3 linked regions of the Diceros bicornis minor genome follow. The protein of the gene in region 1 interacts with the protein of each later gene in a pairwise test. Links are inferred from orthologs where the notes say so. Each region holds a gene or a part of one and is shown in the gene's direction. Other genes may lie near its edges.

Evidence for each region. The genes of interacting proteins can lie anywhere in the genome.
Region 2: the proteins of SNIP1 (region 1) and SRPK2 interact in binary tests that used the Homo sapiens proteins (3 or more experiments, as listed by UniProt). The link is inferred for Diceros bicornis minor from reciprocal best matches to the Homo sapiens genes SNIP1 and SRPK2.
Region 3: the proteins of SNIP1 (region 1) and SF3B1 interact in a two-hybrid assay, tested with the Homo sapiens proteins (2 studies listed by BioGRID and IntAct). The link is inferred for Diceros bicornis minor from reciprocal best matches to the Homo sapiens genes SNIP1 and SF3B1.

The regions. Positions count from the first base shown.
Region 1 is NC_080752.1:51,594,176-51,602,132, reverse strand, and holds the start of SNIP1 (smad nuclear-interacting protein 1), read left to right. Parts: upstream 1-4,812; 5' UTR 4,813-4,863; coding exon 4,864-5,090; intron 5,091-6,589; coding exon 6,590-6,692; intron 6,693-7,957. Other genes in the region: DNALI1 (axonemal dynein light intermediate polypeptide 1), read right to left, coding at 962-1,131, 2,944-3,089, 3,624-3,704. UniProt on the Homo sapiens protein: Required for pre-mRNA splicing as component of the spliceosome. As a component of the minor spliceosome, involved in the splicing of U12-type introns in pre-mRNAs. Down-regulates NF-kappa-B signaling by competing with RELA for CREBBP/EP300 binding.
Region 2 is NC_080742.1:12,839,147-12,847,372, forward strand, and holds the start of SRPK2 (SRSF protein kinase 2), read left to right. Parts: upstream 1-5,132; coding exon 5,133-5,162; intron 5,163-5,570; exon of another isoform or gene 5,571-5,617; coding exon of another isoform or gene 5,618-5,633; intron 5,634-5,727; coding exon 5,728-5,782; intron 5,783-8,226. UniProt on the Homo sapiens protein: Serine/arginine-rich protein-specific kinase which specifically phosphorylates its substrates at serine residues located in regions rich in arginine/serine dipeptides, known as RS domains and is involved in the phosphorylation of SR splicing factors and the regulation of splicing.
Region 3 is NC_080749.1:75,268,657-75,276,615, reverse strand, and holds the start of SF3B1 (splicing factor 3B subunit 1), read left to right. Parts: upstream 1-4,850; 5' UTR 4,851-6,134; intron 6,135-6,441; coding exon of another isoform or gene 6,442-6,464; coding exon 6,465-6,521; intron 6,522-7,433; coding exon 7,434-7,604; intron 7,605-7,959. UniProt on the Homo sapiens protein: Component of the 17S U2 SnRNP complex of the spliceosome, a large ribonucleoprotein complex that removes introns from transcribed pre-mRNAs.

The DNA.
Region 1 (7,957 bases):
CACACTTCCCACTGGGAAGGGCTCTAGGGTGTGTCCTCCTCACTTGGAGTCAGGCCTCAGGGAGTGGCCTTGAGTGGCCCCAGGAGCCCTGCCATGCAGCCACCACTCTGAACTTGGCTCTTGGGAGCACAGGCAGTCAACAAGCCCCTTGTGGCCAGGGCAGAGGGAGACAGGAGCCCTAGGTTTGTTTGCAGCCATGGGGCCCCTCTCTTCCATCCTCAGCCAGAAACTGGGTACTATTCAAAGAAAGCTGCCTTTTTCAATTTGAAGATGGTGGCTGTTTTAAAGTGGCTGGGAAATCCCCTTGGCTGGACTGGGTTGGGGCTGGCAACAGCGGGGTCTAGAGCTCGCCCACCCGTCTCCTCCATCAAGGCTGACCTGGAGGGCCAACCATAATCATACGCCGACTAAAGGGAGCTGCTAGACTCTGCAGCTGCCTCAGGGTTTGGAGGTGGTTTGCATGTCAGAGTCCACACCGGCCGGTGAAAGTGGGCGAGGGACAGAGACATTCGACACCAGCACTTGTGGAGGGAAATCTTAAATCCTTTGTATCCGTCGGTTAACAACACATTACCCTGAAATATTTTTCTGGACCAAGGGCCAAATGTTGATAGATGGATATAAGTATAGAACATTAATTTTTCTAATCAAAAAATTAACACATGCTTATTATAGAAGTCTTGGAAAAAAACGAAGATTTAAAATGGAAGTTCTCATCTTACTCCAAACAACTGCTGCGGGATGAAGAACCAGGTTGTCAAGTGGGGGACTGGTAGGTGGGGGACAGGTAGGAGAGGTGGGGCTGGACGGGGAGGGGGCGCATGTAGCGGTCCCTGGGTGGGAGGGACCAGATGATTCCAGGATGGGATAGGCTGTAGCTCGGGGATACTCAGGGCTTGGGTCTGTGCTGAAGAGGAAGGGAAGGAGGCAGGTGTCCCGTACCCCGCCCCCAGCCACTCACCGAAACACTGCAAGTAGAGCTCCCGGCGGACAGGGCAGATGCCGGTCTCCCTGGCCTGCCGCTGCTGCAGCTTCAGGTCCAGCTGTTCCTGCAGGTGCACCACATCCATCCTGGTGCTGGGGGTGCTGGACACCTGCTGGATCCATAGCTGCGTGTCTTCTACCCACTCCCTGCGGCACAGACACAGCCAGCCTGAGCAAAACCCATTGACCAGAGAGGGTCCTCGAGACATGAGCAGAGAAGGCCCTTTGAGCTCTCTGCCTGAGAGGTGTGAGGGACAGCTCTGTCCTCGACCCACCAGAATCTTCCATCCTTCTCTCTTCCTTGGGGAGTGTGTGGTTTCAAGGCCACCCTCACTATGCTGCCTCCACAAAGCCTCTACCTTGGAGCTGGGCCATCTCCACTCTCCCACAGCCCTCCATGAAATCATCACCCACGTTCCAAATCTTACCCTCTTTACATGTTGAGGACAGACTTATGGTCGTTGTTGATCTCAACAGAAGGCCCAGTGGGAATTCTCCACTGACTTGTCGGGTGGGAGACACAGGGCACCACAAATCTTGTGCCAGCCAGAAAGAGGCAAATGTGTGTACTGGGGAGAGGGGAGGTTCTTGAAGGTGTGTGCCTATGTGGGCCTCCCCACGATGAACCTTGTATCAGAGGCATGGCCAGGTTCCAGAATTACAAGGAAGGAGCCTGAGGATAGAACCGCCATGGGGGAGAGAATTTCCAGGCATTGGTAGGAGGGCGTCAATTGAAAAATCACCCACTCCCCTCTTTGACCCCCTTCTCGGAGGAAATCGCAGTCTCTCTTTTACTGTTTCTCCTTTCCATCATAGCCTTAAAAACTGTGCTATCAACTTATTACATAAAAATAGTCAAAAAGGCATGCCACATAGTGATAAATGTGGCTGTAGAAGAGAGAAGCCAGGTAAGGGGATGGTGAAGAAAGAAGGCGCTCTTTTACAAGGATGCTCAAGGAAGGCCTCCTTAAGGAAACGACATTTGAGCAAGACCTGAGTGAAGAAGAGAACCAGGCAGATATCAGAGGAAGAGTGTCATTGGCAGTGAGAACAGCAAGTGCCAAGGTCCTGCGGTGGAAGAGCGATGGAAGTGTTTCAGAAACAGCAAGCAGAGGCCTCTGCGGCATTAGCACAGTGAACAAGGAGGAGAATACCAGGAGATAAGATCCTGGGTCTATCAGGAGCCAGATCACGCCAGCTCTTCCAGGCCACTGTAAGGACTTTGGATTTTAGCCTGAGCGAAATGGGAAGCCATTAAAGAGTTTCTAGCAGAAGACTGGCATGATCTGACTTATGATTTCAGGGCAGTGTGCAGATTAAATTACAGGGGCAAAGAGTAGAAGCAGGGTTTTCAGATAGGAGGCCATTGCAGTACTGCAGGTGACAAATAGTGACAGGAACAAGATGGTGGAAGCAGAGGTGGTGAAAAGTGGCTGGATTTGGAATATAATTTTAAGGTGGAGCCAAAAGAATTTGATGAAGGATAGGACATGTGACATGAGGGACCAAAAGGAATGGAAGGTGGCCTGAGCGCCTAGTAGAAAGGAGAAGCCTGGGGACGAGCAGGTTGGAGGAGGAAGAAATTGTGATTTAGTGTGGACATGCTGAGTTGAGATATCTATTAGACATCCTCATGAAGATAATGAGGAAGCAGTAGAACATATGGGGCTGGAGTTTAGGGGATAGGACAGAGCTGGAAATGCACATTTGGGAGCCATCAGCGTATAGATGGGATCTAAAGCCATGAGCCTGGGCGCGAGCCCTCAGGAGATGAGGATGGATAGAGAAGAGGTCTCCTCCCACCCTCTCAGCATCCAGCCATCTGCAAGCTCTAGGAGCTCTGGGATGCTGGGAGGAAATCCCAGCCAGGAACAGAGACAGACTGCCTCCTCCCACATTCCCAAGTTCTAGGATGCAAAAGCCTGGGCCTTCTCCCAGACACTGCTCCTACTTTTTTACCTTGGGGGCAGGATGGCATTCAAGATTTCTTCAGCCTGCTTTGTAGGATCTGGGACACAGGAAGTTGAGGGGACCTTGGTTTTTGGTGGCTGCGGGACTGGACCTGAGGGTCCAGGCTGCTGGGGGCTGACTTTCAGTGGCCGAGCCTGAGAAGAAGGGACAAGTTAGGGCAGGAGGTGACAGACACTCAGCTCCACACATCCTGGCCTTCTGGATTGCTCCAGGTCTCCTGCACATCGTCCCCTATTCCCAGCTCACTTTCCCCACCTGTCTTCTCAGCAGAAGTTACATCTCAGAGCTGAAGGGGGCCATAGCCTCTGGTCCTACCCCAACCCAATGCTTGTATCTCCTTGAAGTGATGTTTCTGGCACGGGTGCTCAAGCCTCTGCTTTCACACCTCTAGTGATGGGTGTGAAATCACTACCAGATCTATTTTGGACCCAGCTACCATGAAAAAGAGTAAGCCCCATTCATCTCCCTGTGACTTCCTTCCCCATTCTAAATCTGCCCTCTGGGGTTACCCAACATCTGGCCTTCTTGTAACGCTCTCCCACACTCCTTCCCCCGTTCCAAGTCCCTTTACTCCCAGCCTCTGTCCCTCGGGACTCCCTATCCTCAACGCGGGGTCTCTCTTCTCATTGGAGCTTCGGGCTCCTCCGCCCCCTGAGACCCGTCCTTACTTTGGGACTCCGTTTCTCCGTGTTCCGGCTCACCAACACCGGGGTGTCATACTTGAGCAGAGAGTCCGCGGGGGGAATCATGGCGGCGGCGAAGGTAGTAGCCCAGCGGCGGCCCCTCGAATCATGGCCCTGTTTGCCATCACCATGGAAACCTCTCCTAGCCTCATGGCCTGGGCGGGGCTTCGGGGTGGGGCGGGGCCAGCGGCGCGGGAGTTTCTGCCCAGCTTTTCCCGTGCTTCGCTTGTCAGGCCTCCTGCTCGCCGGGTCGCATCGGTACTCTTGGAAGCAGAGAAAACGGATTCGAGTCCCTGCGCTGCGTCTAGCTCACAATTCGAATAAGGTGGCAGATCACCTTCGCTGACCCCCGATTTTGTCACCTGCAAAATGGGAGTCATCTGACTCCTCAGTGAAGGATTGAGAAAGATTCCCAGAGGAGGGCCTCTGGAGTTCCCCGGTTTTAAAAAGTATTTGTGGGGGCCGGCCCCTTGGCTGGCGGGCTGCACTTCAGTGGCTCGGATCCCAGAGCCCGGAACCCGCAGCACGACCTACACCACTCCTTAGCCATGTTGTGGCAGTGCCCCACATACAAAATAGAGGAAGATTGGCACAGATGTTAGCTCAGAGCAAATCTTTCTCACACCAAAAAATAAATAAATAAAATAAAAAGTATTTTTTAATTAAATGGAGAAATGACAACATAAAAGAAAGTTCAAGAATAGAGGGGAAATACTAATGATTTGCCCACAGGCTATCACCTATGATTGCATTTCCTTCTCTTCTCCTTTCTTTCTCTTTTCAAACGTAAACATAGCCACAATTTTGTATCCTGCTTCTTTCGTTTAACAAACCAGGGTTTTTTCCATTTGTCATACAGTTTGTAAATAGCACTGCGAATGGCGACATACATCCATCAATCGGCTAAACAATTTCCCACCGCTGGGCATTTCGGTTGTCTCCGTGTTTAGTAATTACTAATAACGCGACAACAAACAGCCTTGAGAGTAGCTTTTTCGCAGAAGTTTGCTTTTGAAACTCAAAACTCCCGCCACCTGAACCGGGTCCCTACGGCCCCGCCGACTACGGAGTCGTGGTCACGTGTCTAGCCCCTCCGCCGCGAGGGTTTCTGGGAGAGCGCGCACCCCGGAAGCGGAAGTGCGGGGGGGGGTGTAAAGCCCGTCATTTCCTTCAGCGAGAGGAGCACAACGGACGTATTTTCGCTTCGCTCAGCGGGTCTCTCAGCATGAAGGAGGTGAAGAGCGAGCGGGAGCGGGGGAGCCGGCGACGGCACCGGGACGGGGACATGGTGGCGGCGGCGGCGGCCGTGGTGGTGAAGCAAGAGCGACTCAGCCCGGAAGCAGCGCCCCCCGCCCACCGCCGTCCGGACTCCGCCGGCGGGAGCCCGTCCCCGCCGGCCGGCGAGCCAGGCCGCCCGGGTCACCGCGGGAACCGAGCCCGAGGAGGTAGCCGGTAAGTGGGAAGCAGCCCGGGGTGGACCTTACGTCGGGCTCTGAGAAGGGAGGACAGGGCTAGCGTCAGAAGCACACCTTGAAGCGAGGGCAGCAGCTTGGACTTCATCCTAAGGCGGTGGAAGTGACCCGCTAGTGCTTGGGTTAAATGTTTACTCCGGTACCTGTCACTTGCGTTATAGCTGGGCGTTAAGCGGCTAATCTAACGAGCAGGGTCCGCCCCTTCATCTCTGAGTGCGCAGCATTTCGCGGAGTATGGCCCAGCAGGTAGGACTGACCATTTAAGTTGAAATGAAAGATTTTCCCCATGTGACTGCAAATGGAGTGCGGGCGTTGTCTTTTCAGTCATCTGCCCGGAAAGGTTTACACATCGAGGGCCTAGGCGATCTCCCTGATAGAAATTCTGGAAAAAGAAAATTGTTTTCTACTGGATTGGCTCATTTATTCATTCATTCAACATAGTTTTACCGAGTACCTGTTATGTGCTCAAGACTGGGGCTGTAAGGGTGAACAAGGTAGGTGGCCTTTACCCTCGCGAAATTTGATGTGCTCTAGCCCTGAGACAAAATAACAAGCAAATAAAATAGTTTCAGTTAATGACACGTGTTAGGGATAGGTTAAAACAGTCATGTGATAGTGAGAGATTGGAGGGAAGTGGGAGAAGGCCCCTCCGAATAGGTGCCATTTGAGCTGAGACCTGAATGATAATAATCCAGCCATGTAAAGATGTAGGCAGAGGAAACAACATGTGCAAAGAACCTGAAGTAGGATGAATTGTAATTGTTCTAGAAATAGGGGGGAAAAAAAAACAGCAAACCCCAGTGTAGTGATCAAGAAGAGTGGTAGGAATGAGGTGGGAGAGGGAGGAGATGGAGCCGGAGCTGATGGGTTGAATGTGATTGTGGGGGAAGAGTAGGGAGTGGCTGTTGGTGGTGAGGAAAAAGAAAATCAAGGGTGACTTCTAGGTTTTTGGCTTGAGGAAGAGGGTGGATGGTGGTGCCAGTTACAGAGATGGCAGAGAGGAAAGACAGAGAGGAAATTTTTTTTTTTTTTTTTTTTTTTTTTTTTGCTGAGGAAGATTTGCCCTGAGCTAACATCTGTGCCAGTCTTCCTCTGTTTTGTATGTGGGACGCCACCACACCATGGCCGATGACTAGTGGTGTAGGTCCGTGCCCAGGAACCAAACGTGGGCCACTGAAGCGGAGTACGCCGAACTTAACCACTAGGCCACGGGCCTGCTCCAAGGAAAGGTTTTTGAGGGGTTGGGAATCAAGAGTTATGTTATGTAAGTGAGAATATTCAGTAGGCAGTTACATATGTGGGTCCAGGACTCAAGGGAGACGTTAGGACTAGGAAACAGAAGCTCCTGGCTCCTTTGTGTGATCGGCAGAGACCTTCACAAATGTGTTTGTGTTAGTAGGTGAGCCTGATAGTTGCAGCTAATTTGTGTGGAGGAAGGGAAATCGAGATAAAATCCTGTGTGTCCCATGCTCTGAAAAGGTCCCCAGCCAAAAAGAAAAACAAGTCCTCAGGGAGAAGAAGCAAGTCTCCTAGGAGTAAGAGAAGCCGAAGTCCTCACCACTCAACAGTCAAAGTGAAGCAGGTAAGTGGATTGAAATGTTTTGACACTAGGTGCAAATCTAGAGCCTCTTCCCATCCTAGCTGGAGAGTGTTGTGTATGTGTTCACCTGTACCTGCCGTGGGCTTTGCTAAAAACTGGTTTTGTTTTTGGTTTTTTTTTCTGCTTGCTTTTTTAAACTGAACTTTTTATTTTGAGATAGTTGTTGATTCACAAGCAGTTGTGAGAAATAATACAGAGGTATACTCTTCATCCTGTTTCTCCCAAAGGTAACGTCTTACAGAATTATAGTACAATATCGCACCAGAGTATTGACATCAATACAGTCGAGGTACAGAACATTTCCATCACCACAAGCATCTCTCATGTTGTCCTTTGTAGTCATACCCTCTTCCCTCCCACCCATACCCCTCAACTCCTGGCACCTTTTTATCTCTTCTCCATTTCCATAATTCTGTTGCTCAAGAATGTTATATAAATGGAATCATACAGTATGTAATCTTTAGGGACTGGCTTTTTTTACTCAGTAAAATTCTTTGGAGATTTGTTCAGGCTGTTGCATCTATCAGTAGTTCATTCTTTTTTATTGCTGAGTGGTATTCAATGGTATGGATTTAACCATTTGCCCATTAAAGAACACCTTGGTTGTTTCTAGTTTTTGGCTATTACACATATGGCTGCTGTATAAACATTGGTGTGCAGGTTTTTGTGTGAACTTAAGTTTTCATTTCTCTGGGATAAATGCCTAGGAGTGCAGTTGCTGGATCATATGGTAGTTGCATGTTTAATTTTTTTTAAGAACTTGCCAAATTGTTTTCCAGAGTGTCTGTGTTAGTTTGCTAGGGCTCCCATAACAAAATACCACAGATCGGAAGGCTTAAACAACAGAAACTTATTCTCTCACAGTTCTGGAGACTTGAAGTCGAAGATCAAGGTGTCAGCAGATTTGGTTTCTTCTGAGGCCTTTCTCCTTGGCTTGCAAATGGCTACCTTCTCGGCTGTGCCCCCCCATGGTGTTTCCCCTGTGTGCTAATATCCCTGGTGTCTCTTCCTTTTCTCATAAGGACACCAGTCGTATTGGATTAGGACCTCACTTTCATTTTAACTTAATCCTTTAAAGATCTTATCTCCAAAAAAATGGTTATATTCTGAGGTGTGGGGGTTGGGACGTCAACATATGAATTTTGGGGGGACACAATTTCAGTCTATAACAGTGGCTGTACCATTTTACATTCCCACTTAGAATGTTCGAATGATCCACTTTCTCTTCATCCTCACCAGCATTTGGT
Region 2 (8,226 bases), on another chromosome or scaffold:
TATAGTATGTGTAAATTTGTTTATTGATAATTAAGTTGGTATATTTTAATTTAATAAATTCAAAGCAATTCACAAATATTCTAGGTAGCAAATATAGTTCTCTCCTGGTTTATAGAAGTAAAAAGACTGGTAAGATCACCTTGAGGTCTTTAACTAAGTGTTCCCTTTTCAGTGAGGCCTTTTCTAAACACGTTCCCAACAGGTTGCTGTTTTGTTTTGATTCTTCTTGTCATAGACACTATTGCCATCCAGTAAATATAATATATATTTCACATATTTACTTTGTTTATTTTCTGTCTTCTGGCAGTAGAATGTCCCACGAGGGCAGGGAGAGTCTTGTGTGCTTTGTTCACTGCTGTAGACTCAATACCTTGAATAATGCCAGCTGCATAGCAGGTGTTTGAGAAATATTTGTTGAACAAATGGACGCAAAGAGATGGGGTGTGATTTCCCAACTAATGTTAATGGTAATTACCATTTATTGAATATTTACTTTCCTTATTTGATTATCACATTGATCTAGCAGGATTGGTATTAATATTATTACCGTTTCCCAGATGTTGTAATTAAGTAACTTGCCCAAGGTTATGCAGAAATTAAGAGGCAGAAATGGGTTTCAACATTAAGCTAAGTGAAAGAAGCCAGTCACAAAAGGCCACATAGTATATGATTGCATTTATATGATCTGTCCAGAATAGGCAGGGCTATAGAGACAGGAGATTAGTGGTTGCCTAGGCCTTGAGCAAGGGGAGGTTGGGGGAAATGGGGAGTGACTGCTAATGGTTATGGAGGTTCTTTTATGGGTGACAAAATGTTTTAAAATTAGATTGTTGTGGTGGTTGCACAACAATCCTAAAAAACATTGCCTTTTGTACTTTAAATGTGTTGATTGTATGGTATGTGAATTATATCTCAGTAAAGCTATTAAAAATAATAAAAGAAACTGGTTTTAAAATCGGATTTCTTTGGCTTCAAAGCTTTTAATCACCTTCTAGAAGGAGTCAAGACCAGCAAAATGGCTGGTTCTGAGACCCAGTTAGGGAAAGCACAAAGTTTCCTGGAACATCTTGTGCCAGAAAGTGAAGAGGTGCTCAAAAACTGATTGGGATGTGTCCGAAGGACACTAAAAGTTGAAAGTGTCTTCCCTGGTCAAGTATGGGGCAATTCAAGAATCAAAAATCAAAGTGACAGTAATTACTGTCAATATTGAAACCAAAAATAAAAACAAAAAACAAGCCAAAAACAAACAGAGAACAAAGGGGTGGCAGGAGAAATGAAAGCTCTTCTTTACATAAGAATGTCACCTAATTAACATAGATGGAACAGATGGAATGTTAGGATTATAATATTATTATTCTACAACCACTATAGTAACAATTGATTCAGGCAAGCATCATCAATGGGTGCTAACCCATAGAGTGAAGATTCTTGGGGAAGGATACTCACATGGTCTCAAAATATTACCCCACAGAACCATAAAACAAAATCATGGTGAAATTCACATAACATAAAGTTAATCATTTTAGAATGAACAATTCAGTGGCATTTACTACATTTACAATGTTGTGCCACCACCACCTCTATCTAGCTCCAAAACATTTTCTCAGTACAAAATAAAACCCCGGACCCATGATGCAGTTGCTCCGCGTTTCCCCTCCCCCAAGCCACTGGCTACCACCAATCTGCTTTCTGCAGATTTGCTTGTTCCTGATGTTTCATGTAAATGGAGTGGTACAATATATGACCTTTTGTGTCTAGCTTCTTTCACTCGGCAGACTGTTTTTGAGGTTCATCCACGTTGTAGCATGTATCAGTTCTTTAGTCCTTTTTATGGCTGAAAAATATTTCATTGTATGTCTATACCACAATTTATCCATTCATGTGTTGATGGATATTTGGGTTGTTTCTAACCTTTTGGCTACTGTGATCAGTGCTGCTATGAACGGTTGCACACAAGGATTTGTTTGAGTACCTGTTTTCAATTCTTCTGAATATATACTTAAGAGTAGAATTGCTAATAATCCTATATTTAGCTTTTTGCAGAACTGTGGAACTGTTTTCCACAGTGATTGCATCCTTTTACATTCTCACCAGCAATGTACGAGGATTCCAATGTCTCTACATCCTTGCCATCACTTAGTTTCCATTAAAAAAAATTGTAGTCATCCTAGTAGGTGTGAAGTGGTATCTCATTGTGATGTTGCTTTGCATTTCTCCAGTGATGATGAGCATCTTTGTTTCTCTTCTTTGGAGAAATGTCTATTCAAGTCCTTTGCCCATTTTTTTTTTTTTACGTACATAAGTATATTATACATTTTATCTGTATAAAACCGTAAAATAGCACACAATTTACAAATCATACTAAAATATACAATCCTTTTTATTGTAAATTCTACAGCACCAATTGTTCTCTAGAATGTTTTTTTTTCCTTTTGTCGAGGAAGATTGGCCCCGAGCTAACAGGCAACACCTGTTGCCAACCTTCCTCTTTTTGCTTGAGGAAGAGTGGCCTGAGCTAACACCTGTGCCCATCTTTCTCTATTTTGTATGTGGATTGCCACGACAGCAATGGCTTGGTGAGAGGTGTAGGTCTAAGCCCAGGATCTGAACCCGTGAACCCGGCCGACAAAGCAGAGAGCAGTGAACATAACCACTATGCCACTGGGCCAGCCCCCTAGAATGCTTTCTTTGATTTTTGCCAACCGTTACATCTGTAGCCAACCTGTGGTTACAATTCATCCAGGATTTGAGAAAATCAGACCATGAACAAATGCTTGATTACTATCTGATTCCACAAGAAGTCCTTCATGTCACCGACTCTTGAGTATAGTTCCGACATAAATGTTGGTTGATGTTTTCATTTACACTCAAGAGTGAGATGAAAGGACAAGAGTGAAGCACATGTTGAATCTTAACTCATCCGCCAAGGATATCGAGTGACCTTGTTGGCTGAATTGGATGATAGTTTTCCAACACTGGAAGAATGTTCCTCGAGGTTCTGTGCTGTTCACAGTGTAACAGCTACAGACATGACAAACTTTTTTTTTTTAATTATTTTATTGCGGTCATAATGGTTTATAACATTGTGTAATTTCAAGTGTACATTATCATTTATCAGTTTCTGTATAGACTGCATTGTGCTCACTACCAATACTCTAATTTTTATCTTTCACCATACGTATGCGCCCCTTTACCCCTTTCACCCACCCCCCATCTCCCTTCCCCTCTGGTAAGCACTGATTTGCCTTCTTTGTCCATGTGTTACTTTATCTTCCACATATGACTGAAATCATGTGGTGTTTGTCTTTCTCCGTCTGGCTTATTTTGCTTAACATAATACCCTCAAGGTCCATCCATGTTGTTGCAAATGTGATGATGGCGTCTTTTTTTTTTTTGGTGAGGAAGATCGGCCCTGAGCTAACATCTGTTGCTGATGTTCCTCTTTTTGCTGAGGAAGATTAGCCCCGAGCTAAGATCTGTGCCAATCTTCCTCTATTTCGTATATGAGATGCTGCCACAGCATGGCTTGATGAGTGGTGCATAAGTCTGTGCCCAGGATCTGAACCTGCTAACCCCAGGTTGCCGAAGCGGAGTGTGCAAACTTAACCACTATGCCACTGGGCTGGCCCCATGATTGTGTCATTTTTATGGCTGAGTAGTATTCCATCGTATATATACACCACATCTTTATCCATTCATCAGTTGATGTCCTTTGCCCATTTTTTACACAGATTACTTTTTAAATACAAAGAAAAAAAGGTACTTTTACCATGGAGAAATGATTAAATGCAACATCACCAATAATGGAACAAACAGACATCAAAGCCCTCCTGATGCAATTTACTAAGACCAACACAACATCATCTATGATAGTGTACCTGAGAAAATTATGTAACTTCAATCTAAGGGGGAACAGATGAATACAAACTGAGGAACATTCTGCAAAACAGTAGAACTGGATTCTTCAAAAAAGTCAATGTTATAAGAAAAAACAAAACCGGGCATTATTCTATACGAAAGGAGCTTAAAAAGATGTGACAACTAAATGCAATGCATGGTCCTTGATTGTATCTTGGGTTGGAGAAAAAGTCAGCTAAAAGGGATATTTTGAAAATTTGAACATGACCTCTGTATGTTACAGATAATAGTATTATATTAATAAAATTCCTTGGAATGATAACAGTATCTGATTAAGTAGGAGACTATCTTTGTCTCAGGAGATACTTACTGAAATATTTAGGGGTAAAGGGTAACACTATCTGCAAAAAACTCATGATTCAGCAAAAACAACTCTCCCCCCCCAACACAGGGAAAGCAAATGCAGCGAAATGTTAAAAACTGGTGAATATGGGTTAATATGGGTGTTCATTATGTTTTTCTCATAGCTTTTCTGTAGGTTTGATGTTTTTGAAAATAAAAAGTTGAGAAAGTAAAAAGCTCTTTAATTCCAAGCAGCGCCTTCTGTTCTGTTGGGTTTAGCATCTTTAGAATAAGACTAGCTACTTTGATCAGTTAAGAATAGAGTTGTATAGCCAAAGAGAGAGTAAATGGTCAGGATGAATATCTTTCAAAAATATTATCAGTATTTAAATAAACAAAGGAACACTGCAGTTATCATTTTGTCCCACTATCAAGTTGATTCACATCTTAATTAGGAAGCATGATACGTGGAGAGTTTGGACTGAGTTAGGCCTAGATTTCAGTCATTGCTGGGTAAACTGCTTAACCTCTCTAGGACTCAGTTTCTTCATTGTAAGATGGAGAAAATAACTACTTGGTGGTTGTGGTGGTGTGTTAAATTGTTATACACGTGGTATTCATTGAACTGGGCTTTAATTCACGTGCGAAAGCTTCATCCTTCTTTCCACGCTATTTGCATCTTTTCCTTCATTAAACTCAAGCAGTCCTGCGGGGTAGGTAAACGTGTGAGATAAGATGACTTCTCCAAGGTCACATAGCTAGTGAAAGGACCCAGGTTTCCCAGTTCTTGGTCCTGTGCCCTTTCCACACCCGCCGGAGAGGAGGAGCGGCGCTCATGGGGATGCAAGGATGTAGGGGAGCAAAGGGGGAGAAAAGGCCGCGCGAAGAGAGGTGGTGTGAGACCCGCGGAGGCGCGGGCCAAGGAAGGGCGCATGGAGAGACGGGCGGCGCGACTGGCCGGAGTGCGTAGGGGAGAGGCCGCGGCTGCGAGGGAGGGTCGCGCGGGCCGGGTGCCCGGGAGAGGCGGGAGGCCTGGGCCCGCCGCGGGGGCGCTGGAGGCGGAGGCCTGCCGCGGGCTGGGGAGGGGGAGGTCGGGGACGGGACTGGCGGTGGTCGCGGGGGGTCGCTTCGCACAGGTGGGCCCGGCGGGCGGGTGCGGGACACACGGGAGGGGCCCGGCGCTGGGGTCCCAAGCTCACCGGGCGGGTGGGGGCGGGGCGGGGGCGGGGCCGGGCGGAGGCGGGTCTTGCCGGGCCCCCCGCGGGAGCGGCGGCGGCGGCGGCGCAGGCGCGGTTCCCGCCTCCTCCCGGCCGGCGGAGCGAGTGGAGGCTGCAGTCCGGCTCGGCTCGGCACCGCGTCGCCGCCGCCGCCGCCGCCGCCGCCGCGAAGCCCCCCGCCCGCCCTCCGCCGCGTCGGGATGAGCTCCCGGAAAGGTGAGTGGCCCGCGGCGTTCGCTCCTGCCCGCCACGCGGCCCCGCGGGCCGGCCGGCCGGCCCGACCGTTAATGTGTGTCTTCTCTTTCCCCAGTGCTGGCCATTCAGGCCCGAAAGCGGAGGCCGAAAAGAGAGAAACATCCGAAAAAGTGAGTCCACGCTGCGCTCGCCCCCGGGCCCCCGGCCCCGCCGGTCGGGCGCAGCCCGCGGTCGCGCCGGGGAAAGTTGCCCCGCTCCCAGGGCCGGAGGCGGGCCGGTCCCCCGGGACGCCGGCGCTCGCCTCCTGCGCGCCCCGCGGGCGGCGGGCGGGGGAGGGGCGCGCGAGCCCGCGGCCGGCCCGCCGAGCATCCCCGGCCCCCGGCCCCCAGTCGCCGCTGCGGCCGTCGAGGGCGGGCGGGCGGGCGGGGAGGCGCCGGGCGTGCGCACCCTCCCCGGCGCGCCGAGCCGGCCCGGGGTCGGCACCTTCCCAGGAGGGGCGCTGGCGCCCGGCGCGCCGTGTGCGGGCGCGAGGCTGCTGCGTGGCTCCCACCTGGGCGCGCGGGCCCCAGAGGAAGAGGAGCCGCGTACGTAAGAGAGTGTGAGTGTGTGTGTGTGTCGCCTCCTCTTCCTCCCCGGCCCCCGCCTCTCGGCCTTTCTGCCGAAAACCCGAGCTGGTTGTCAAGTGGTTTGCCTCGGGCGTGTTCCTGGCGCGAGTTCAGCTCCGAGACCCGTGCGTGTCGGCGCTCGGGTTTTTATTCGAAACTTTCTGCTCGGGCCGAGCGTGACTTGGCTGCGCGGCGGCCGCGCCGGGTTGCGGGCTGGTGGGGCCGGTGGGCGTGTGCGCGGGCGGCCCCGCGCGGCTTCCCAGCCCGCATTGTGCTGGGGAGTTGATGGATGGGGTGGTGATATTTAAAACGTGCCAGTCGCCAGCCACCTCCAGCATGGCTGCGGACCGGAGGGGGAGCGGCCGGCGCCCGAGAAGCCTTTCCTGGAGAACTGCTCCGAGACCGCAGCGCCGCGGCCTCTCTCCTTTTCCTTCTTTCATTCCTAATTTAAGAAAATCCGCCAGCGTTCAACATCTTTACTCCTTCTAGATGTGTGGCTTCGCTTTTCCTTTTGAGCAAGAAATACAGGCAAGGTATTTTTGGTACTTTGGGGAATGATAGTCCATGATCATCTTTAAATAAAATCCCGAAGCATTTCTTGTTTCCTTTAGAGGACTACCCTGCAGCATTCCTAGGCTTTTTCCCTTCCTGTTCGCCTTGATCTCTGCCTAGCGAATTTCATACCCGTTGGTAGCATCTGTGCAAACTGCCTAAGTCATTGCTAACGTGGTGGTATAGCATGACAGGATTTTTGTTCATTCAAAACGGAATATAACTTGAAAGTATTTTTAGGATTTCACAAAACGTGGATATCGACATAATGATGCCTTTCTTAAGAAAGAAACTATTAGAGTGAGGGAAAAGTACTTATTAAGGACTTGAGGAACTGGTGGGTAAAAATTGGATATTGGATTCTTAAGACGTTAAAACAGAATGGATATTTGGTAGTTTTAGATGCCTTAAAAAATTAGTGCTAGCTCTCAAGTCAATCAGAACCTTAAATTTGGGATTTCCTTTGGTGAATGACAGAAGTTTAGCCTATAAGTGGGGAGAACTGTAATGTTTAGGATCCGGAGTATTGGGTTTTAATCACAACTTTCATTTCAAAGCATTTATTTCCGCATAGCCCATTATGTTCAGAAACATAAAAAGGAGGTGAAAAAAGCATGTCCCCAGTTTTGGGGATGGCTGTGTGTATGTGTGTGTGTATACACATATATATATAAAATCTATATGTGTGTATATTATGTATATATATGCATACATGTAGAAAAACAGTTTTAGTTGAGTAGGTCAGTGTGTGTTTCATATTTCAAGGTATGACTTTCCTAATGGCCAAGAGCCTTTTTTGTTGTGTCGCAGTTTGCATGTATGTGGTATGTTTATAAAGAATTAGCATATAGCCACATTAACGTTTGCCTCACGGATTAATCTATCAGTTTCTTCCATTGTTTGTTGTATTTATGTAATAAGATTGGAGGGAAACCCCCCCAACCAAGGACTGAATGACCTGGTTGGTCAGCAAGGTAATTAGTAAGGGGAGACCAGCCCAATTACATAACTGTTTGATTGAGGCAATGTCATTTTTCACTTAATTTTTTGAATCAAGACATTATTTTAAAGGGATGCCTGATGTGATATATTTATTCATATATTCCACAGGCTTTTTGCATGCCTTTCCTAGGAGACTGACAGAGCTTTGAACAAGGCAGACAGAGCTCCTCATGAAGCTTACGTTCTGGGGGGCTGGGGGGACCCCAAAAAGGATGAGAAGTAAAGATGACAGCTTCAGATAGCGCTAAGGGATAGGGAGAACATTAAGATGGGGCGCCTTAAGTAATAGTGACAGATGACATTTGAACACTGTGCCAGTCACTGTGTTGACTGTTTTATGTGTGTTTATCCCTTGTGACAGCCCTGTGAGGTAGGCACTGTTGTTATTACCATCTTACAGATGAGAAACCGGGGCTGCAGCATGTGTAACATGCCCAGCTGTTAAGTTGAATCTA
Region 3 (7,959 bases), on another chromosome or scaffold:
CACTTTAATAATACTTTACCTATGTATTATTCAGATTATTAAAATGAAACATTAGGTTGTAATTTGAAGTTACCTGGTGTTAAGAAACACTAAAAGAAAGTTGGAAGACTAGTCTGTATTTGAAGGAGACTAAAGAGACGTGACAACTAAATGCAATGCCTGGTTCTTGATTGGATCACAGATCAAAGAAGGGAACACCTATACAGGATGTTACTAGGACAATTGGGGAGATTTGAAGCTGGATAATATATTAGATGCTATTGTATTAAGGTTTAATTTCTGAGCGTGTTAGTATTCCTGTGGTTATATAGCAGAATGCCCTAGATCTGGAAATAACATGCTGAGATATTAGGGATTTTAAATGATTTAGAAAACTGATATGTATACACATTTGCTTTATCTATTATGTACATAAACAGTTGATGAATATAGGTGAAGAGTATGTGGGTGTTCATTGTAATATTTTACTTTTTTTTAATCTTGAAAAAATTCAAAGTTAAAAATTGGAGGGAAGTTTGGGAAGCAGTTGAGAGGAGTTCATATGTCATTCACCAAATCTGCATCTCCAGAATGTTAGTAGAACATAGTGCTTTGGGGAGTGAGAGATGGCAGTTCATTCATTCATCGAGTGCTGAAGTGTTTCATGTTCATTGTCTCATTTAATCCTTAAAAAAACTTTATGATGTAGGAAACTGAGACACATGGGTTTAAAAACATTAATTAGTAGAGAAAGGGCCTTTATTTGAAGGCAGACATTCTGATTCCAGAGCTTAGACTCTTAATCATAAAACTAATGTGATGGTGGTTGCAGCCAAATTGTGTAGGACTCTGAATTCCACGCTTAAGAATTTAGACTTTATACTTTATTGTTTTACTATTCAGAGTGTAGTCCTAGGTGTTTAGGACATTACCTGGGAGCTTGTTAGGAATGCAGGAACTTGGGTTTGATCCAGGCTTACTGCATTTTCTTTAGTTTCCCTAGTCTGAGTAGGCATGGCATCTGAAAAGATTCCTTTATGACCAGTGTCATATAGTGTGTTGCCTATATTTTCGTCTATGAGTTTTATAGTTTCAGGTCTCACCTTCAGGTCTTTGATCAATTTTGAGTTAATTTTTGTGAATGGCGATAGCAGATGGTCCACTTTCATTCTTGTGCATGTGGCTGTTCACTTTTCCCAACACCATTTATTGAGGAGACTTTCCTTTCTCCATTGTATGTTCTTAGCTTCTTTGTCGAAAATTAGTTGTCCGTATATGTGTGGTTTTATTTCTGGGCTTTCATTTCTGTTCCATTGATCTGTGTGTCTGTTTTTGTACCAGTACCATGCTGTTTTGGTTACTATTTCTTTGTAGTATGTTTTGAAGTCAGAGATTGTGATCCCTCCAGTTTTGTTCTTTTTTCTTAGGATTGCTTTAGCTATTCGGGGTCTTTTGTTGCCCTATATGAATTTTAGTATTCATTTTTCTATTTCCCTTAAGAATGTCATTGGGATTCTGATTGGGATTGTATTGAATCTATAGATTGCTTTAGGTAATATAGACATTTTAACTATGTTTATTCTTCCAATCCATGTGCATGGGATGTCTTTCCATTTCTTTATGTCATCGTTGATTTCTTTCAATAATGTCTTGTAGTTTTCATTGTATAGGTCTTTCACCTCCTTGGTAAGATTTATTCCTAGATATTTTATTCTTTTTGATGCAATTGTAAATGGTATTATCTTTTTGAGCTCTCTTTCTGTTAGTTCGTTATTAGCATACAGAAATGCAACTGATTTTTGTAGATTGATTTTGTACCCTGCGACTTTGTTCTAGTTTTCGGTTATTTCTAATAGTTTTACAATGGATTCTTTAGGGTTTTCTATATATAAAATCATGTCGTCTGCAAATAGTGAGAGTTTCACTTCTTCGTTGCCTATTTGGATTCCTTTTATTCCTTTTTCTTGCCTAATTGCTCTGGCCAAAACCTCCAGTACTATGTTGAATAAGAGTGGTGACAGTAGGCACAGGCTTACTGCATTTTAACAAAATCCGTAGACGATTTGTTGCACATTCAAGTTTGATAACCACTCTCCATAGTACTGTTGTTTTCACATTTCTAGTAGTGTTGAGTTAAAATAATCTTGAGTGTTGTTGTTGGTCCCTAATCAACATTGACAGTATTATTGTTTCAGTTGAGGAAAAGTTTAGAATTCAACAATAATTTAATAAACTTTGGTAACCCATTCTTAAAGTAAGAGTAATTTGCAGTTGATGAAATAGTAAGTGTCTTTTCGGTACATGAGTATTGTCTGTTGAGGTGGAGATGTTATTAAAAATCAGTACTTGGTATAGTTCTACTAATCTGTTGTATGGTATAATTATTTTGAAATTGCTGTATTTAGAAGAGTATTTTGATAATACCTGGGAGAGAAATGCATTGTGTTGAGTGCTCTTTGGAAAATGAAGTTCAGAAGGTCTATATTAACTTTCTTACAGATATTGAAGCACAGATTCGAGAAATTCAAGGCAAGAAGGCAGCTCTTGATGAAGCTCAGGGAGTGGGCCTTGATTCTACAGGTTATTATGACCAGGAAATTTATGGTGGAAGTGACAGCAGATTTGCTGGATATGTGACATCAATTGCTGCAACTGAACTTGAAGATGTAAGTTACAAAGTATCCAAGAGTCAAGCGTTTTTTTTGATGGAGAGCAAGAAATATAAAGGAATTTTCTGTTTGAGTCATCTGGTTTAATCTGGGGAGACATTTTGGAGATTGGGAGATCTTTCTTTTGAAGGATAAAGCTGTTGAAGGTGTCCTTCCTCTCTAAAGTTCAGAAACTTGTGGAAGTGCTCAGTTCTGAATCTTTATGTTAAAGCTAGTTTATCTAGTAAAGCACCTGCAAATCATTAACTATTGTAAAGTAAATCCCTGTTGTCACCTACTGAGCTCTATCTAGAGTTGCCCATGTGAGAAGTGACTTCATTGTAAGTCATCTGTCCTTAGGACTTTTGATTTCTGACTTGTGCTTGATGCTGTTTTTTTTTTCCCCTTGGCATCTTGTGTGAATGGAATGTTTCTTGTTACCGACATGAATGGCTTTTTGTGCCTGTTTTAGTTACTCTGGAGGATGATCACCTCTCGTTTTGAAACACACCCCTCAAAGTGTTTTTTATGTGTTCCACATAGCTTATATTTTGTCAGACCATCCCAAACATACAAATTTGGTGAAATAGCTATCCATTTTTGTGTGGTTCAGTAACAAACATTTTATGTATATAGATTATCAAACATGTTATTTTTATGAAATTCAAGCCACATTTTATTTTATAGTTGGCATTTTTTTTTTTTAAAGCAAAATTAAGTCCCAAAGGTAGAATTTCTAGAAGCCAATCAGGCTTCTATTTGCATTATCATACCTTATTCGTATGAGACAGTGATGGCTATATGTTCCAGAAACTGAGGGGAAAATTATTTCGTTTTTAAATAAAATAAATGAGGTGTTAAGATCTTCTTGAGAGTTACCCACTGTTGAACTTCTTATAGTAGTAAAGTAACACTAACATTGTTGTGTTTGAACATACTACTAGGGAAACAAATATATTTAAAATTAATTATATTTTACTTGTTTCTGTGGTTAAATCATGTTAAAAAAACAAGGAAACTAGAGAGCTCTAAATAGTCTATTTGTAGTTTACAAATTTGGAAAACAAATTTCATCATGCCTTCTGTGAGAAAACAAAATGCTCAGATTTTTCTAGTCCATACCGACTTTAACTGACTTCCACAGAAAGCATGCCTTGTTTAATATTTTTAAAAGAGTGAAGAGAACTGAATTTCATTTCTTTAATAGCCTTTTGAGTTGAAAAGAAAACCAAAGTATTTATAAGTTTTAGGAAGAAGGGTTTAGACATCAATCACACTGTCAGTAAGTCTTTTGATTTCATGTTGAATCTTTATGTATTCTTTATCATTTTTAAGTTCTGACATTTTGTTTGTGGCTTTTGGGGGCATTTCATTGCAGGATGACGATGACTACTCTTCATCTACAAGTTTGCTTGGTCAGAAGAAGCCAGGGTATCATGCCCCTGTGGCATTGCTTAATGATATCCCACAGTCAACAGAACAGGTGACTCTTTTTTAAAAATTATTATTAAATTCAGAGTTTATTCAGCTAAAGAAAACAATGTCTCAATTCTCATGGAAGCTCACATATTTTAGGAATCAAGTTGTTAGAATGTTTTGATGAGAGTTAATTTGGGAGAATTAGAAATAATAGTTTATTTTATAAAGGTAATCATTTCATAAAGAAACTATGGAAATGTGGACATGTGTATTGTCTCATTTACGTATCCCTTATTTTCTCATATTAACGTTTATCCATAAAATGATACAGAATATTTTTTTTTTAGTAGGTAGGCATTTATTAAACATTTTTACGTGTTTTATAATGTTCTGATTTTTGTTTGTGGTACTCTGTTTGGTTATTTAGTAAAGTGGGTATTAAGTGAGATATAACTCTTTTCAGTATGATCCATTTGCCGAGCACCGACCTCCGAAGATTGCAGATCGTGAAGATGAATACAAAAAGCACAGGCGGACCATGATAATTTCCCCAGAGCGTCTTGATCCTTTTGCAGATGGTAATTCTTTCCCACTTTTCTATAAGTATTCGGAAATTTATTTGTATTAAGTTGTCTTTAGCCCTTTGATTTTTTTTGGCATGCCTATGAATTTGCTTTTCTTTTTTAAAATCCCCCTTATAGATTTGTATAGATTTGGTTGAAGTCACAGATGCCATATTCTTCCTCTTTATAATGCAAGTTTTCTTTCCAGGTAGAAGGACAAGAAAATAATGAGCCAATGCCATAGAAACGCAAAGGGTTAAAGGTTTTTCTTTTACTTTTGTTTTGGGTACGCTTTCTATACTTTGAACAAATGTGTTTTTCTGCTCAAAATACTTTCAAATTATTGAAAGTTTTCATTCCAAATCCTAGATTTTTAGGATTGTTACTTTTGAGAAACTGTTTCTCACATTAGAGCTCCATCCATGTTGCTCTAAATATAGTTTAGTAAACGCACCTACTTTGCTTTAAGCATAAAGTTAAAACAAAAATATGTGTACAAAGACTTTGATATTTTTAATAGTTGGAGTCTGTTTTGCTAATTTTAGGGGCATAGTGAGCCTGATGGAAGCTTTCCTCAGGTGAGTGAGTTTCAAAATCAAAATTAGGTGCCTGTTTCTTAAAATTAGATTCTGCTGCAGGTTTACAAATTAGACTTTCAGCCTGCATGAATTAGTAGGGATATTCTTTTTTTTACTTGCATAATTGTAATTGATTTAAACATGTATGTCAGAATTCACAGGCCCATACTAACTGTCCTTAATTTCTTTCCTACAGCAGTACTGCTATATGCCAGTCCTGTCTGCATTCTTAAGGGTGCAGTTCAACACATCCTCTCTAGATTATGGTGAAAAAGTATTCCAAAGGAAGTCTTATCAGAGCTAGTGTCAGAAAGAATGACACTATCAATTAGGCATGATCTTCAGCATAGGAAATGTCTTAGAATTTTATTATTTTTTCCTAAATTATGATGCTATACTACTTTGTATAGCTAATTATCACATTTCTAAAACTAGTGTGCCTCTGTGAATCTTGTTGTATACTGTTTGGGCTTCTTTAAGATATTTTGAAGTTTGAAAAACAAATACTGAAACTTTAACCAAGAGACTAACACATCTCTTTGTACACCACTTTTCTTCTGTGTGCATCATAATAACTGGTAGAGGTAATATATTTCAAGTAATATATTTCCAGTTGTAATTTATACTTTCTAAGAAAATAAAAATATGTTTCTGGGTCAACAAAACTCTAAAAGCATGAAGCCCTTTTTAGTAACATGACATCAGAATAAGATTATAGGTATATTTTTAAAAATCAGATTTTCTGAACTATAACTGTTTTAGAACATTATATGAGGAACTTATCTAGTCATAGTTATTTGTAGTCAGGATTTTAACAGCTTGCAACAGGTAATGTTTTGAATATAAATATCTTTCCAAAGTGTTACTAATGGTAAAGAGATAATTTTCTAGGCTTCTATTCTGCTGCTTGAAGTCAGAACTGCTGATGGAGACAAAGGCACGAAAGTGTACGTATTCCGGATTAGCAACCCAGGAACCCATCACTTCTGAAGACTCTAAACTGTGCTGTCATTTTGTTTTCATATGCATTAAAATATTTGTTTTAAACTGCTGTAGATATGTTTGTGTTCAAACAGGTTAAATTGATCAGCAAACTCAATAAAAAGTAAGATGTATAATTATTAAAGTTTTCCATCAAAAAATAAATTAAATGATTATGGAATAACATAATATTAGAGCAGGGCAGATAAATCAGTTGAACCTAATTATCTTTTATTTATTGTACTCTTGTCCTGTTGCTGTTCTTTTCTGCAGGAGGGAAGACCCCTGATCCTAAAATGAACGCTAGGACTTACATGGATGTAATGCGAGAACAGCATTTGACTAAAGAAGAGGTATGTTAACCTGCTTTTTATTTTAATGGTTGTGAAAGAAAGTGAAGAAAGTAGAGATTGAGTGACTTTTGTATTTTCTTTTTATTTGCTGTACAAGTAATATTTTAACAGCTTAATAAAAATTAAGTTGAGAAAGAACCTTACCCAAAATTCTGTCACCTCCCAAATTACACTTTTCATGTTTCTATATCCTTTTCTAGTCCCTGGTCCATTGGCTATATATCTATATACGTATGTATCTTATGGTGGATGTATCCGGGAAGGATTGATAGTGTGTGTCTGAAGCCAGTGTGTAAGGGAAAAGTGAAATAGTTAAATCATTCTTTGAAAAACCTCTAATTCTCTCATAAGATTCAGTTTGGATATGGGTGGAGAATTCCTGAAGAATTCCTGTTGGCCTACAGAGATTGCTCCATCTTGTTTTAATAGTTAGCCTCCAAACTTAATATGAATATATAATAGATTTGTTTGTTTTATGGATTAAGTGGGATAGTGGAACTCCATTTTAAAATCATGGGGTAAATTAAATATGCATTTGTTATGACTATGTTATTTGCATAGTTATAGTCACTTTTATCGCTTATATCTTGCTACATTGTCTTAATTGCTATTTATATGAGTTTTAAATAAAACTTTATTTTTGAATGGAATCATCTTTACCGTTGACTGAAGATTTTACTTCACTAACTGTATATAAAGTAGAGTGCTTTATGTTATAAATTCAGTACTTGCTCATCTGTTGTGCAGAAGGACATTGTATAAAACTGGCGATAGAGAGGGAAAATAAGGAAGGAGAATGAGTGAAGAATAAAATGACGTGAAATCATGAAATAGAAATGACTGTCCTAATGATATAAAAAGATAATTGAAAATGTTTTAAAGATATTCACTGCTTATTCAAATATTTTTCAGAGAGAAATTAGGCAACAGCTAGCAGAAAAAGCTAAAGCTGGGGAACTAAAAGTCGTCAATGGAGCAGCAGCGTCCCAGCCTCCCTCAAAACGAAAACGACGTTGGGATCAAACAGCTGATCAGACTCCTGGTGCCACTCCTAAAAAGCTATCAAGTTGGGATCAAGCAGAGGTAATTTCTTAATTTTTGTTACTACTATTTTTAATGTTTTTATCTCATGAAATGTATTCATCAGCTCTTGTTGGCATACAAGATAGCACAAACTGGGCAGCTTAAACAAACATTTATTTTCTCATGGTTCTGGAGGCTTGAAGTCCAAGATCAAGATGCCAGTTGGTGTCTGGTGAGAGCCCTCTTTCTGGCTTGCAGATGGTTGCCGCCTTGCTCTTTCCTCACATGGCCTTTTCTCTCTGCTTGCATGGAGAGAGCGAGCGAACTCTGGTGTCTCTTTTCTTATAAGGACACCAATCCTGTCAGATTAGGGCCCGAACCTTATGGCCTCACTTAACCTAATTACCTCACTAAA